3 linked regions of the Drosophila melanogaster genome follow. The protein of the gene in region 2 interacts with the protein of the main gene of each other region in a pairwise test. Each region holds a gene or a part of one and is shown on either strand. Other genes may lie near its edges.

What was found. Proteins that work in one complex are often made in the same cells at the same time.
Region 1: the proteins of X11L (region 2) and Appl interact in a two-hybrid assay, tested with the Drosophila melanogaster proteins (one study listed by BioGRID).
Region 3: the proteins of X11L (region 2) and rst interact in a two-hybrid assay, tested with the Drosophila melanogaster proteins (one study listed by BioGRID).

The regions. Positions count from the first base shown.
Region 1 is NC_004354.4:529,604-534,222, forward strand, and holds the start of Appl (beta amyloid protein precursor-like), read left to right. Parts: upstream 1-1,566; 5' UTR 1,567-1,586; intron 1,587-2,023; 5' UTR 2,024-2,195; coding exon 2,196-2,273; intron 2,274-4,619. UniProt on the Drosophila melanogaster protein: During development, plays a role in the regulation of the neddylation pathway. Appl and APP-BP1 interact antagonistically during development.
Region 2 is NC_004354.4:17,598,077-17,605,638, reverse strand, and holds the start of X11L (X11L), read right to left. Parts: upstream 6,032-7,562; 5' UTR 5,960-6,031; intron 5,649-5,959; exon of another isoform or gene 5,218-5,648; intron 4,867-5,217; 5' UTR 4,734-4,866; coding exon 4,335-4,733; intron 4,260-4,334; coding exon 3,720-4,259; intron 3,658-3,719; coding exon 3,544-3,657; intron 3,488-3,543; coding exon 2,546-3,487; intron 2,484-2,545; coding exon 2,168-2,483; intron 1,944-2,167; coding exon 1,804-1,943; intron 1,666-1,803; coding exon 1,660-1,665; intron 1,569-1,659; coding exon 1,203-1,568; intron 1,145-1,202; coding exon 668-1,144; intron 598-667; coding exon 457-597; intron 402-456; coding exon 330-401; 3' UTR 1-329. Other genes in the region: CG12991 (uncharacterized protein), read right to left, coding at 7,261-7,392, 7,455-7,562.
Region 3 is NC_004354.4:2,970,782-2,975,800, forward strand, and holds the start of rst (roughest), read right to left. Parts: upstream 3,054-5,019; 5' UTR 2,620-3,053; intron 1-2,619. UniProt on the Drosophila melanogaster protein: Required for correct axonal pathway formation in the optic lobe and for programmed cell death in the developing retina.

The sequences.
Region 1 (4,619 bases), about 17 Mb from region 2:
GCTCGATTTCATATTCATTGCCACGTACGTTTCAGCTTACCGTGCACTGCCACGCCAGCCGGCTAAGTGCGTTGCGCAACTAGGTGAAATGTGCGTTGTTGTAGGTGTATAGCTCCGTGTCTGTACCAGGCTCCGTTCCTAGGTTTATGCTTTCCTGAGGCCTAGCAAGTAGGAGGCGGCGTAAATAAACAAATGTAAGAAATCTAATTTGTAGCCGGTAAGAAGATCAGCTGTGCGGCACAGAGTTGCCAGTCGCTGGGAAGGAAAAAATGAACATGTTAAATAATGTCGAAAGTGGTTTGCAACTTGGCTAAGGGCCAAGCAATAAGTGATGTGGATAGGAAATTGGGTGGTTGGTGGTGGGAAACTTGGATTTGGTCATATCTTACATCTTACATCTTACATCTTACATCTTACATATCGACGCCATCTAGTGCAGATTGGCTTCACCATTAGAAAAAGTATATAAACTCTTGAATCCATCGAGGAAAACAAATTTGAATTAAGTTTAGTGGTTTATAAAAACTCGTGCATAGGACAGCCTTTTGAAGACGGTGACCTGTGCGAAATTCCCTTGGGAGTTTCCACCTAGCGGTGTGCATGTAAACTAACTAACAAGCACTCCGCCAGACACTCTTGGTTCGCCCGCGGAACCAGTTCTCCCTAGTCACTTCTGTCCTGCTTGTTCCGCTAATACCACTACCACTGGAAGCACTGGTACCATAGTGCAGCCCGGACAGCCAAAAACATTGTCACCCCCGCGGAAAGCGGAAGGCCAGTTGCTCGATTCGCCCTTAATATCGATCCCGGGCACGCGCTCTGCATTCTGCGCCCGAGTTCGACTTTCGCAGTTCGCACTTTCGGACGTGGACTCGCAGGATTGCAGGCAACGAGACCACTCGCAGTCGTTTGTGAGCGTTCGCAGCGCCAGGTATAGCGTACAGCCAGGGCTCCAAAAACTCAGCGCTTTAGGGGCTTCTTCGGGCCACCCCATCTGACCACTCCCCGACAGCTTGGGAAGGCCAGGGGCTGCTGGCCAGTGGCTCTTGTCGTTCTCCCGCTCGGGCGGAGAGGTGGTGGCCGAGGAGCCACAAGCACAAAACCAGAGACACACATTGAGAGACCGTCAAATTTAACCAAAACAAGCTCAATACTTTTTTTTGCTGTTCAAGTGCTAAATAGTGCTAAAAAAGAAACCCAACAACAAAAACCATAGAGAAACATCCAAAACAAAGTGATACAAGTTCGGAAAGAAAAAGCGAAGCCGATGCCAATAGTGGATTTGTGATGCCAACTTAGCTGGGGGACAATAAGCAGCGCACCTGCGCAGAATCAGTGAGAAAGGGGTTGGGAAAGTGCGCAGAAGCCCGACGGATACGTTCCAAGAGTGCGGGAAGGGGTTAGCGAGTGGGTGGATTTGCGTGGGAACTGCCAAGACAGGAGACAGGAGACATGGACAAGTGACATGGGACGTGGAACCCGACGACTGCAGCTGACAACTTTTCCAGGCGCAGAACGGCGGCCATAGTGCCACTCATATTTTCCGTTTCGGGGAAGTACAATCTCAGGACCCCGAGAACCAGCGAGTGGGTATGACAGGACAGATAGCAGCGAGTACTCTCGTAGCTTTGCCTTATTTTTCTTTTCTTCCTTTTCCTTCAATTCCCTTATCCGCCCCCGCCCATCACGGACTCTCTCCTACTACGTTCCACAATCGAATACTACGGCCACTCACATACAAGCCACACGCACAGAGTTTTCCGAGTTGACATTTTCCGTGCATAGGTTTCTGGGCATCGGCGAAAGGAAAAGCGCTGCGCTGTGGGCAGCTAACTTGGGCACCGCAAATCGAACGAAATCGGAGTACGAACCTTAGAGCGCAGAAATCAGAAAACAGAAATCATAACCCAGAACCCAGAAAGTTAAAGGCTGAAACGAAAGGCCACAATTCCGAATCGCTTGCTAATGAAATTTTTTTGTGTTTTCGATTTCTTGCTGCTGCTACCGTCGTCCGCCTGTGCAGCAAAGTGTTAAACGAATAGCCAACAAAGCAAATACAATTAACCAGAACTGGAAGCACGTCAGTCCAGCCGCAGAAGCAGCTAAGTTCAGACCAAACTCGGAGATTCCCAGCCAGGAGATAGGACCAGGAGCCAACCAGACGAGGAGCAAAGAAGCAGAAAAGAGTGCGAACAATGTGCGCCGCGCTGCGTCGTAATTTGTTGCTGAGGAGCCTCTGGGTCGTCCTGGCCATTGGCACTGCTCAGGTTCAGGTGAGTCACCGAATCCCCACCACACCACACTACACCACACCACACGACATAACAACACACCACACTACAGCACACCACAACACACCACAGCACACCAGACCATTTCACTCCACTTTCGATACAATACTCGATGGAACGAAGGAGTAAGTCGAAAGAGCCGAAACTCAGAACAGAAACACAAACCGAAAATGAAACTGACAGAGAACACTGGGAAACTGGGCAAAACTGCACACTAAAACATTGTTTCGTTAGGGCTTTAATCGGGATGACAAATTGATTTAAACAGACAACTCGACGCTCGATGTTAGCCACGCATTGAAGCTGATAGAAGTCAAAACAATATTAATTCGGTGTCCGGGGAAGACAAGTAGGTCTCCAGCAATTAGGGACTTGTGTTGTTGCGCTACTGCCTCATCTGGCTTACTGACACAACACCCAACTTATGTATAACTTGAGTACGGCTCACAAAATAGCAGTGTGGCTCTATACTTTCTGCGTGCAACAGCAATACCAATCGCAACCGCAACCCACACACACAGGCACCCACACTCTCGCACACACACAGAGAGCCAGATACACAAGCACACAAGCACTTGAGCGGGTTTCTGTGGGATGTGGTGGCCGTCGGCTAAGCAGCCGCGCAAAGTATGCTACGAAAAATGTGCCATCGCTTAGCAGCGGCACTAAAGGCTCGAGGGCTTGAAGGCGGGAAAGGGTTGGGGATTGGGGATTGGGGATTGGGGATTGGAGATTGGGGATGGGTATGGGATGGGGATGGGATGGGGATGGGTGATAGGGCTGCCAAATTACTTGCGAGTGTGCGCAAGTATTGGCTTAATTGAACCGTTTGCTTGTCGCTGGCTACTGGCCAACTGAAAGCCGAAAACCGAAAACTTGAGGCTAGAGGATAGCAGCAGCTGGCTTCGACTAGCAATTTGCATATAAAAGTAGCGGAGGTGTTACCGAAACCAAACAGGGCGTGCAGACATTTTGATTTTGATTTTCTACACGCAGCGACTGGCAAATATCGTAGAAATGGAGTGCGGGGCCGGGTTATGCGTCCTTCGGTTGGGGTTTAAGTCCGGCTAAAAACTATCCGGCTCTGTCTGAGCATAATCCCCAAATTGGTCTGGGGCTGGACCTGCATTCACCACGAATCCTCTTGTTCAGGTCAATTCATCGACTGGCATACGTGCACGCACACACCTACCGACAAACCAAAAGGGAAGACATGCGTTACTAGGATATTGTTAGCTTTAGCTAAAGTGTTTTTAAATCATTTGCAAACAATTTTTGCCAGGCGGCAGCTCTCGTTCTTTGGGGCCGATCCACAATCGCCGACGTGCCTGACCTTAACAATTTTGCTTTACTTTCTTGTCTCTTAAATACCTCGGAGCAATTTTCCCTTGGCAACGCAGAGCGAACAGTCTTCTGTGGCGGAACAAAAACCTAATAAAATCCATATTCATGTGGAGACAGACCAATTGAAAGAGAAGAACCGAGGGGCAGCACCTCCAAGGACCCAGGAGCCAGGAGTTCGGCCCAATCCCGGACAGGGGAGCAGTTAAGCTGCTTTATAGCGCATTGCACTCCTTTCATGTCTTGCTTTGTATGCAGCCTGCAATTTGCTTTGCTCTCCATTCGTTCATTCACTCTCCACCCATCTTACCCTTAATTCGGCTATTCATGCTAGACCGTCGCTGCGTGCAATTCATGGCAGGACTAGCCTGGACCTGGTCAGCCACTCACCCACAGGTCCACCCTTCAGCTTCGTTGTTATCAGGGGCACGCATCGCCGACGTCATTTTTGTGGTGGTCGTTGATTACTTATGTCGCTTGCACCCACCATTCCCACCCTGCTTGGGACAACTACTGCTAAAGCGTTTTAATACCTTTTGCTTCGTGTAACTTTAATATTGGATCATTTTTCTTTGTGAAAAATGCTAGCAGTTGGTTGCAATATAACCCACATTTTCAGTAAAAAAAAAACTGTCGGCAAAGTTCTGTGTGTTTTAAGCGGGATTTCCAAAGTAGTGGTTTCCTCCAATGTTGTAGTAATGCATTACCAACTAGGGACTTTTTTTAAAAGAATTTCTGTTTTTTTGTACCCTGCCCTCCCCAGTTGCTCACCCGTTTTGTAGCTATCTCCTTTCTGCTTGTATTCTTTCTGCCCTTTTTCACTCTTTTTTTATAAGGACATGTCTGAATCATCCAGAAAGCAGGGAGGGATTTGCGGACTGCAATGTGCAATATACCCGAGAATCTCCCCAAACACTCGATGCCAACGATGTGTCTCCCTCAAACCTGGCAAACGGAACACGCAATCGTTGCTGCCAAACAGCCCAT
Region 2 (7,562 bases):
AAATGAACCAAAAAGTAGCATTTTCTGTAACTCCAGTAATAGTAATCTCTCTATTGCAGTTGTGGTCGCTGTGGACACCTGAACGATTTGACGACGAACAATTAATCTCATTGTAGACTTAATACATTTGCAATTCATTTAAATTAACTACAATTATGCTTGCAATGTGAATACATAAAGACAAATAATCAATGAACAATTTAAGACTAAACAAATTCCAATTTAAGGTCTCTTTGCGAATCGATGTAACTTTAAGCTGGTCAAGTTGCAGTTGACGAATTTATAGTTTTTCGATTCCAGCGTAGGCGTGTGAACAGTTGCATATATATTTATATATAGATTGGCGTCTCTTGACCGGTGAGCAAACGAAACATGGACGTGGGCATTGTCTTCATCAGGATCTGATTGGAAAGGTATTGTTAATATAAGAATAACGAATTTAAAAACGCGTCATACCTCGCCCACTGAGGATGACAACAGCTTGACAATGGTATCGTGTGGCACGGCCACAACGCTCTGGTTGTTAATCTCAATGATGCGGTGGCCTACGCGTACTCCACCCCGCTCAGCGATTCCTCCACGCAAAAGACTGCAGATCTGCATTAAATAAATACATATGATTAGAAGGATTAGAATAAGAAGAATAAATTCAGCATTTTATAATTACCACGCCATTTTGAACACTAAAACCCAACTGGAACAGCGCCTTGGGACGCAGGATCTTAACCTCGACGACAGGCGGACAGGGCACAACGGTGAACTTGACGGCAGTTTGGTTCTTGGCATTGCGTATGTAGCTCTGGCAGGTGGACAGCGGCAGTCCCACCAGGCTCATGCCGTTAATGGCGATCAGCTGGTCACCGATGTTCAGCTGGCCGCAGCGGGCAGCTGCTCCTGAACTCATCAGGTTGGCAATCACCACGGTGGGCAGCATGGATCCCCAGCCACTCTCTACGATCACCACGCCTAGGATCTCGCCTTTCGCCTTCGGCACAACTACCTCCTTTTGCAGCTCCTTTTTGGCAAAGATCTCCAGCTCATCACCGAAAATCTCCTGACTGTTGAGCACCTCCTGGTAGTCCATCTCTTTGGCCAGACTCTCGTTTTCGATGCCGTTCGCCTTCAGGAACTCCATGTAGGCCACCTGGTTAGGTTTTGATTGTTAATTATACGTGCCAATAATATTATTAATATTCGCGTACCTGGAAGGCCTGTCCAATGGACTGAGCTATGAACTGCGCCTCATCGCTTTCGAACACGTGGCAGATCATTTTGGGCGTGCGATTGTGCTTGCTGAGTGGCTCTTTGGGGGGCGACTCCTCCTCGCCTATGCCCGGAGTGGGAACATCACCTAATGGACTGGTGATCGATGGATCCACAACACTATTCGGTACGAATCGACGACGAGCCATCAGCACAACCAGATCGCCAATGTCAGCTATATAGGATATAGTACGCAGCGCATGGTCCATCATGATCTCCTTGAGATCCGTGTTAAGCACCATTATCTTTTCGGTTGATATGAACAGGTCCACTTCAGTGCTCGGCTGACTTTCGCCCTCGGGAGCCTGGTAAAAAAATAGCAAATCATATATTATATAATGCATTTAATTCTTAATGCTATCATTTGACGACTGAAAGGGGCTAACGAACGCTTACCAAAGCCTATCGAGAGGAATGCGCAGCAGGGAACGAGAAAAGCGAACGAGAAAGTTTTTAGACACACACATAGAGCATAACCTAGCGGGGTTTCCTTGAATGGATGTGCTTTCGTGTGCATCACCAGGTTTTCACTTCACTTACCTTGATCCTGGAAACGGCCTCCTCGGCCTGCATCATTCTGGTCGACTTGGTCGGCTGACCCTCGCAGACAAGTTGAGTGGATCCAAGGTATCTGGCCCGAAACAACACGCCCTCAATGAGAACTTTGGGTTCCAAGAGACCTAAGAACGAACATTATTTAAATTAGTTACGAAGTGCGTTAATGGTCTTCATTTCTGATTGTTAATACACATAAGGGTAGTTTAATAAACCTAAACATCTGCTGGGTAACAGAGACTTACGTGATGTCAGCATTAAATAGATTTGAATTGCAGCGTGAAATGTTGAATCGGTTTCCATATCAGTAAACGAACAACAAGGGGCGTTGACAACTGTGCTAACTTACCCTCTTTGTTCCGCGATTTGGCCTTCTTGTCCGAGTTGGCAGAGTCCTTCAGGGATTTAATAGAGCCCGTGGGACTTTTGGTGAACTGCAGTTTTTCCGGCGAGCTTATGGAGATGTCGGTCGTGCCCACAATCTGACAGATGTCCGGCGAATTGGGTGTCAACGAGGTGCCGATGCCTTGTCGAATGGTGGCCGTCGAGTAGGTTTGCGGCTTGCTATTATTCATAGGATTCGGATTGTTGTTGTCCGACGTGCCATTTAGATGCCCATTGCTGGCAATATCCGTGCCCTCATTGGCATTGTTATCAGCCAGGCTCTGTAAAATTATTATTTCGTAATTATTTTGAGCTGATATCTCTGTAAGTTTGCATTCCTCACCTGATCGGCGAAGAAATCCTGCTCATCGTGCCTCTGCTGACCCAATAGACGATCTGTTTCAAGGTCGGTGTCTGGTTCCTCATCCGCCGCCGCACCTTGGGCCGTCGAGATCGTCGTCCCTTTGCGTGGAACCCAAACCGGTGAATCTGGATCCGTGGGCAGCACTTCGTCACAGAATTTTAGTTTTTCAGGCTGCGTTTTAGCACGCTGCAAGGCGGAACGTATCTCCTTCATGGCCTCCTGGATTTCCGAAGCAGCCTGCGATGGCAAAGATCCTCCCGCAGTTACTGGTGTCACCCCCAGTCCTGATCCCGCTGACTTCTCTGTGTGAGTACCTCCCAAAGCTGCTGCATAAACCGCACCGTAGTGACTGTCCAGTGGATTATCAGCATCTGGGACCATGGTCATGGATTCACTTGCATCGGCGATCTCGATTTGGGGCGGCGATGATGGAGGCGGAGCCGGGGGCATGGGCAGTGAGGCGAAGTCGCTTATCAGCGCCGATTGCGAGGCATCTGTGGTCAATGTGGCCAAGCTGGCGCTCATCACATTGTAGTCGTTCTCCAGCCGCTCGCCATTACCGTTGTGCTCGTGGACGGGCTGAGATTGGGACGATTGCTGCTTGTCACACACCACGGATACGTTGTTCTCCGTGTCGGAGGCGTGGCCACTGCTCAGGCCATCTTCTAGGACAGGCATGCTCGTATACAGTTTACCAAAATCCGTGGGGCAGTTAATGTCGTTAGACAGACTGTCCAAATCACCGCAATTCGAATCGTAATCCGTCGTCTCGGGAGACAGGGTAAAGTTTCGGGAGTGTCGGCGCAGATTTGCCTCCAGTTCGGTGTCCGCCAAATCGCCGCTGCTTCGGCTATTCGAATCAATGTACAGCTCAATATCATTATGCTCCTGGTAGGCCGTCGATGGATTCTGGTCACTGGGCTAGAAATCGAACAATCGTTAGCTATTTTAATGAATTTCATTTCGTTATGACTCACTGGCTTTTTAGTAGGCGACCGGTGAACCATGTAGAGCTCATCTTTAGGTATTCTCGCCAACCGCTGTCCTATATATGCCTGCTCCATGGGCGTGGCTGGGTACTCTTGTGGCTGCTAGTCAATCAAAATGCAATATTAAATGGGTTTCTAGGCTTCTTGGAAGTAGTAGTACTCACCGAGCTAGCGACATCGTCTCCACTTTCCGTGGTGTAATCCGTGTACCGCTTTTCGTCCTCCGGATTCGCCTTGAAGAACTCCTCCAGCACCTTTCTGGTCTCTGAGAATTCGTACAGGTAGTCGAAAGTAGGTGTTTTCTCGCGAAGCGTCCCGGAACGCTCTTCCTCGTGGTCGACCAAATCGATAAGGTTGCCCACGGATGCTTTAGCTGCAGCAGTTGCATTATTAGCGACACTGGTGGTGGGCGAAACTCTTTGCGGGAAACCCGGCGGACGTTTTCTAGGACCACCCATGGTAATGGTATTTGTATTCGGTTGACTTCCAAATCGTCGCGGTGAACCCTCGTACTCGGCTATTGGCAGCTGTCCAATCATTTTGGTCACCTTGAGGACATCCTCATTGCTGCCTGGACGCTGGCCACTCGATGCCTTGTTCATCCAGTTTGTGTCAATGTCGTCGAACACCACGATCTCACCATCACGCAGGCACTGACCGTCCGCCTTGCCCACATCCGTTGGTGAGCCGGGGCTGGCCAATCCCTTAAAGAAAAAGCAGAAAAATCTCATTGTAGTGACTGAAACTACGCCTCTAAGTAATTCTCCAAGTTAAATTACCTGTGGCAGGACATCCCGTGTCTCAAACTGGCTGCCCGGACTCCTACCCAGTCGGATTTGATGCAACTGCGGTCGCTGGTAGTAATAGCTGCCAGAATCGCGTCCCGCATTCGAACCATAGCTGCCGGATCCCTGAACACCTCCGCCCGATGGCGAAAGACCCTGCAGCGGAACGTAGGACAGCTCGCCATTGAGATCCGGCGAATTGAGCACCGTGCTGGCTGGCGTCACATTTGGGCTACGGGTTCGCATCTCCCACACATAACGTTCCTGCTGCTGCTGCTGCTGCTGGTGCTGATGCGATTGCTGCTGCTGCGCCTGCTGGCCAAAGTTCATCTGTATGTGCGGTGGATTGACCATGGACTCGTTACTGCTGTCACTGCAGGAGTTTGAGTTCATGGCTGCACCAACAACTTTGATTCTCCAGGTATGAGGGACTGCGGCTTCGATACTACTACAACTACTGCTCTAGTGCTGCTGCTGCTGCATCCGCTGCTGCTGCTGCGATTGCTGCCTCACTGTGGGCCACTGCCTGGGGGAGAATGGATGATTAGTCGATGATCTAAGGCGGCAATGATTCACTGCGCTGCAGCTCAGCCCAGAAAAAAATCAGGGACAGGTGGTCGTGTCGATGACGTACTTTTGCTGGATACCTTGCCGCTGCGTACTATATATTTAAATCGACATAGAAATACCTGGATTACCGGGTGTGTTTAGACATACGCGATACGGACAACAGGAACCAGCACAGTAAAATGCCAATCTATAAAATTGCTGATTTGTTATTTTTGGACCTAAGCCTATTGCTTTAAATTGGGTTTGCCCCAATCATTCCCTAATCATTCTCATGTGTATTTGTATCTTATTACAGGTCCTAGCTCACCTCGTTAAATGTAATTGAGTTTAGCTAATAATAAGTATTCCATTGTTTCGAGCTTCGGTTTGTTGCTGCACTGGTTTGGTAACCTCTGGTTGTGGTGACCCCCTGGCTGGCCAGCGCAATCAATGCGGGCAATTAACCCACTATTGCCTGTCCATGTGTCTATATGTGGACACCTTTTTTAGGGCCCCCCGCCGCGGTTGCCACTGACCGAGCTTGCGAGTTTCCGAGTTCCGGAGCTACCGTGTCCGTGGTTGATTGCGCACACGTAAACTTGGCCTCCAAAAGTCCTCGCGCAGGCAAAACAAACGCAGGAAGCTGCAGCCAGACACAACAACCACCCACGCGAAGGTTGAAGGATGTGTGGTGGGTGGTGCAAGTGGGTGGTGCCAGGGGGCGATGGTGGTGCTGGTGCTAGCCCTTTGTTGTCGCCGATTGTTGCAATCACTCAGCACTTTGGAGGCGTGGGAAAAAAACAAACTCCCCGTTACCGTTATGTGTATCTATCCATGTGCGTATTGTTAAAAATCAATAGATTTGTCGTATTTTTTTTGCAGCTCCTTTGCTTTTCGTTTCGTTATTTTTTGGTGGGGGCACCGCACAACACAACACACTCATGCACACACTCGTCGCATAACGACGCACACACGCAGCGCACTCGAGCAACAACAACTGAAACGGCGGCAACAACAACACGGCCAGCAAATAGGCACGAAAACAACACCTGTCGCGGTTTTATATTTACCATTTAATTCATATTTATTGCACTACTCCTTCAGCAACTCGATTGGCGCAGAGCGATTGGCAGCAATATAGATAGTCTCTGCTAGAACATCGATGGCCTATCGATTGCTATCGACAGCGAACAGCCGGACAGTGTTGAGCAGCGTTAGAGGGTACTATTCAATTCGTACCTAAGTAGGTGCTAAAAGCCATTTTAAACATATTTAAATATGTTTCCTTCTCCACCCCAGCTTTACTTGACTTTACCCTTTCTCCTGTACCTTGCCCTAATTACGCGGTACCGTCTACTTTTCCAACACTCCTTGTACGATGAATTTCCCGCGCCAATTGATAACACTTTTTCGAATAATATCAGTTTAGCATTTAATGATTAATGTACTCCATCTGGGTTTTGTTTTTCGTTTAATATTTGCAACATTCGAACGGATAGTACAAGTACAAGTGGTGTATAAAAGTTCGATGAGCAAAATTGACAAGGATTGTGTGGCAGTAAACAGTTTTTCTTGTTCTTCGTTAGCTTATAATTCGTTTTATATATTTGTGTATATTGAAACAATTTCTTGCAGTCTTGCCAGAATTTCAGTGATAATAATTCGTTCGTTCAAGATTTATCAAGCAATTAAAATTTTAACAGCAAGTTTTGTTTTTCCATCGAAAACTTAATGAATTAAGTTAGGAATTAGACACGGATTATTTTCCCAAAAATTCTAGCAACACCGGTGTGTGGTTGTGTGATGTTTTCTTTTAATTGTTGTTTGCTTGCTTCGCTTTTAATACATTAATTACAGTGTAAAGTTGCTCTATAGGCTAAACTGGAAGGAATGATTGCATTTAATTGTTGGACACAAAGTTGGAAACTTAATAAATAGTGTTTTCTAAAATTAGACTTGGGTTGGGAAGGGCGATAAAATAGTCAACAATATAAATAAGGTTTAATAATTAACTAACAGATACGAGTACAATGGGTTGGTTTACAAAAATCGGGTTAGTGGGGAAGTTGTTAGGGAAAGGCTTTAACTAACAGTCAAGGCCAACAAAAACATTGCGCACTTAGGATCTACACGTACACTAAACATAATTTTGGTAGTTTTGGGCTTAAACTAGTTGCTCGTTTGGTTGCCTAACATTAGTAAATACATACACGCGCTTAAAAACTACGCTACTTAATGATTATGATGTCTGGTTGTCAAATCAGGAATGGAATTTTAACAGCGAAACGAAACAGAATCGTAATCGAAATCGAACCAAAGACGTACAATAAATGATAGAGGGGATTGGACTTCCAACGGGGAAGGCCGGAGATTAAAGCTTTGTATGTTTGACCGTATCCGTCCAGTAGTTCTGTATTGTCATCGCCTCCAGCGAATTGAGAAACGAGTCGTTGTCCAGGCTGTACATCTCATCCGAATTGTCCTGCAAAATCAAGAGAGAGAACTATTTAGTGCATAGGACATTCAAGCGCCACTGGCAATTGGTCAACGAATCCTTACACTCACCCGCATCGTGCTATCATCGATATAGACACTCGAGTCTGGTTCGCTGAGCGCCTGCGGTTTGTTCAGATACCGACGACGGTACAGTACGATCCCAATGGTGCCCACTGT
Region 3 (5,019 bases), about 15 Mb from region 2:
CCCTTATAGCCTCCTCCTAATGATGATGGCTTGACAAATATTTATTGCTTAAGCATTTGAGTGCAAATATTTTAATTAGTCTGGCGACAAGACAACAGATCTGGAAATGGAAAGTATAGATGGAACTGGATCTGGGATTCGGACTTCTGGACTTCTGGATTCTGGGCCCCATTTCTCAACGCTGATGAGGCTTAATGAACTGCAAAGCGGCCCTCAATTGTCTTCAATTAACCAAATTAACCAAGGGATAAATTGCTTGCCTTTCGAATGCCCTCGTCTGCATTTCTTTTTAGAGATGAGATGAGAAATTAGCTGGCAGATGCAAATACCAGGCAATAAGTCTTTTCTTATTGTACCTAAATGATATAAAATACCAATTATTCATTAAACGAAGCACTTTCTTAAACAAAAAAAAAAAACAGGCAAAACGGATGAGCGCAGCAGTCAAATCGGTGGAACCGATACGGCAGAAACTGTCAAAAAGCCTGACAGCTCCGCTCTCAAGGTAATCCATCCAGCGCGGTGGGGCAAAAGGGGGTGACGAACATAATTTGTGGCATGCAAAGAACTAACAAAGCGACAGGCAGGCGAAAAAAAAAAAACAAAAAAAATGCAAAATCGCAGGGCGAAATTGAAAAGGAAAAATAAGTTTCGACATGCTGACGAGGACGCGTCAAAACGATCCAACAAATGCGGCCTCGCCAATCGATAACACAGCAACAAAAAGTGCAGGAGAAATACAGGCGGCAGCAACAACTTGCGACATGAGCATGTTGCACTTCCTGCCACGCCTACCGAACGCCTCTTTTGCCATCCTTTTCCCACACTCCCCAATTTCCTCCTGTCGATTGTTTCAGACGTTTTTAGCAATTTGCAATGCCAGCAAATTGGGCCAAATTATAAAATCCAAAAGCTACACACACGTTCCCAAATACACTTTAAAAATATTTTTTCTTTTTGTTTTCAAACCAAAAAACTTAATAACGTTATTCAAAATGAATTTATAGGAGCTTCAATCAAGATAAATAAGTATGAAAATAAGTTAATTTCAATTAAAAAAAAAAAGAACAAATACTTTTTCTGGTCAAAGACTAACTTTTTTTGAGACTAGTTTTCTTAATCGTGCTTTAGCAAATCTCCCAGCCAATCAATATTTTTCCGGTGTTTATCATGCGACATATATGAACCCAGAGGATGGAGCAGAGTAAGTAAAAGGTTAGCTTGCCAAAGAAGATTGAAACTTTGCTTGCTTTTTTAATGACAAGGGACAGGTGCGTGAGTCTGAAGATACGCTTGTATATGCATTTGCAGATGTTTGAGTATCTGTGTGCAATGTATCGATGTATTGGTAAAGCTTCTGGGCCTTCAGCTTCTTTAGCTCGCATTTCTGTTCTTTAACACCACAGCCGCTAGCAACATTTTCTTCGCTTACAGCTGGGGGGAGTTACACAGAGAAAAATTTTATGAGTAATAAATAAATTTCTATTGGATTTGGAATAATTGATTTATGATTTTTGAATGTGTCAATAAGAGAGTCGAATTACTGGCATTTCACTTAATCAATGACAAAAGGAATTAAATGTATTTGCAAATTTATTTACTTAAAACCAAATGAATTAATCCATAAATGTCAGAAATAAACCATTGAAATAGGTATACCATTCGAATGTTATAAATAAATATACGCATTAAAGAATTACACCAAAGCGCACATTTAATATACATTGCCTATTATGTAGATTAAAACTTGAAGTTGAATGTTATACTCATTAAAGTTTATCGTTTGCCGTAAATTATTCAGAATGATTTTAGCATTGTTTAGCATATATTCAAGTAGATTTTTTGTTTGTGTACATACTTGTATACGAACAAAAAATCATTCTATACATTTAATATTAATTTTTCAACTTAAGTGCTTACGAAATGCCTAATCGTTGACTAGCTTTGTACATTTTGTTTTTCAAAGTTATTGCTTTAAATCATAAATCATGCAAAACCAAGGAAAGAAGAGATCGAATCAGTTAAGAAGAGCACTTTTTTCTATAGATGCTCAGAGGGATGGAATGGTCAGAAGAAGCTAATTAGGTGTCCAAGGTCTGGAGTTGAAGATCTATTATTGTAGAGGGGAAAGTATATCTGTGATATACAACTTAACATAGATTTTGTATAATAAACCTCATTTTCAGATTGATAAGATCTAAACGTTATTCGAAAGATGGTAATTTAATTTATTTTATATTTTATTACATTTTAATATTTTCAGCAACTAGTACTTGCCATTGGGCATTTCATTAGGCAGAAAGGAAAATATAAATTTTGCTTTAACAAAGTCTACTTACAACCAAAAATCATGCTTCCATTTTCAATTAAAAACACATATATTTTCTTCGAAAAAAAAAAAAATACACTCAAGCAAACTCGAAATCCAAATGCCAAAGTGGCCAAAAGCGAAACTTTTGAGGGGCCAAAAGAGGCGGAGACTTGGCCAGTAACAGTATATTATAAACAAAATCAAACGAAAAGGTCAAAGTGAGGGAGCAGCTGTTGCAGTTGGCGCATGAAAAAAGCCAAAAGCACAGGAGTTTTCTTTAGATTTTACTGATGAACTTTTTTACTCACACTGTTTGTTTGTAATCAATTTAAACAATTTCGGCTCCTTAGTCCTCTTATATGCATATATATTTTTAACTGACTCTGACCGGCCACTGGCACTAATCCATAATTGTTGGGTTGACAATTTTCAGCTTGTTTGGTTTTTCGGGCTTTGTTTTTATGATAGCCTTGTTTATTCCATTTTAAGCACACACTTTTCCACTGGTAATCCACACCAAAATGAAATTTTTTGGCTTGCGTTTGCACCAAAAAAAAAATTGACGTTTAGTTATATATTTCGTTTTAATTATCTGAGATTTACTGAGAGTTTTCTCGGGCGAATATGCGATGCGAGTTCTCGTCTTCGGGGTCTCGAAAAGTATCTGTGAGATACCAGCTATCGAAAGTACGGAGTTTCCGCCGCTACGAAGCGAACGGTACGAGCGAACGGAACGAAGTGCGAACTCGATCCAAAAATCCGACTTCTTCGGCCGGCGCGGCTTGTCTTCAAACAAAACAAAGCGACGCAACATGTTCGATGATGTTGCAAGTGGTGTTTCAGGCTCTAACAGCATGCAACAGGGCTAACAGCGCGGCTCGATGCAACCTCTGTTCTATGTTGTTATTCATTTGGATTATGTTTGGCAGCCAATGTTTTTTTAAATTCCCATATATATGGGATATATGTTTTCATATCATATATTTACTATAAGTTTTCAGATGCAATGTATAAATTATATTAAAAAATATTATAAATTATTTATACGAATCAATTTAGTGTTCGCTATACATATCTTTTTTGTTTCTGTGCACGCAAATTTGGGGATATTGCCAGCCGATGTGCCACGATTTTTGGCCATCTGTCTTTTGGCCTTAATTGCACTCTGATTTGCTGTTAGCAGCGCCACCTTCCGCCAAAAGTGTGGACCACCAACTGTTGCCGGAGAAGATAAAAAACAAAAAAAAAAAGATCACATAAAGTATAAACCCTTTAAACACTGCAGATTGAGATAAAGTAGGAGAATTGGCCGTCAAGAGGTCAATGCTGTCGGGACAGCAGCTGTTCACCAATCTCTCCTCCTTCTTCGCACCCACAATTCTTCCCGTTTTGGTAGAAATCTGCAGTCTTTCTTCCGATTGTGGAATGCCAGAAGGGCTGTGAAGAGCGACATATGGTCCTCTACAGAGCAATTTGAGTAAAAAGTCCAAATCTGTGGCTTGACAAAACGGCGGAAATCCCATGGGAACCACACAGAGAAGTGTTTAACATGATTTTCAAAAAGAAGCTATTAATTTATCATTAAATTAGCTTAATTTTTACATTAAGCAGCCCTTTTTTGAAGTGCCAACATTCCTGCGCTTTTTGCTGCATGCATAATTTTAGTTGGCTTAAGAACATTTCAAATGTCACACTTGTAGTAAAGCCAAGCTCAGCTGAAAACTCAAACACTGTGGGAGCCATTTTACTAGGTGCGACTTGTTAATCAATCGACTGCATGATGAGTTGATTCTAAGTTTTCCCATAATTGAATCGATACACAAGCTGTGCGCTCCACGAGAGATAGGGAGATACAAAAGATACAAAGATACTACCAGCGATGAAGATGGACTGTTGGATGGGAAGATTTCGGCACTGGAGACATGCAAGACCAAAATAAACAAGTTTCGGAAGGGAAATTTATGGCACGATTGCTGCGAACGCAATTTAAACTACGCGTGTGAGGGAGGCACCGCCGGAAAATCGGAAAATTCGGAGCGAGTGATGAAGTGTCGGCTCTCTTCCAATTTTCCGCTCTCTCTTCGCGCCTCTTTCCACGCATTGCTTGCCTTTTCGAGGGGGGATTTTCCAAGCACCGCTGATTTTCTTCGGCTCCCCAAGTAATTGTCATGTAATTTATGGCCGCCGTATGGGAATATCAATGCATTGCGCTCTAAATTTACACAAAGACGAAAGATAAGGCGAACGTTGTTGCATAGTCAGGGCATTTCCTCTACATATGCGTAGTCCAAAATTGTTTATAAACACCCCAACAAACTATAACAAAAAGCCTTTCTCGATAAGAAGGTTCATAGCCAGATCCCATAAATTCCATTCGCAAGATAGGATTTCTGTTGCAGCATTTTGAAACACTATATTACCAATAAAATCGAAATGCATGCACAAGTTTTGTCCTTAAATATTTCAGATAGCTCCCCTATCACGCACACCCTTTTTAACCCCAAACAAATTTGTTATAGCTAATTTGTGGTTTTTTCTTTTCAAATATATAAACTCATGGAATCTATACAACGTTTTAAAGTATTTCTTGAATTCAAGACTTATTTCCATAGCATTGTATCAAATCAAATGCTCTGTTTATCGCTATTTTTAGTTGACAGTTTTGGCTGCTCATTAATATGGTTAAAAGGTGCGGAGGGAAGAACTCT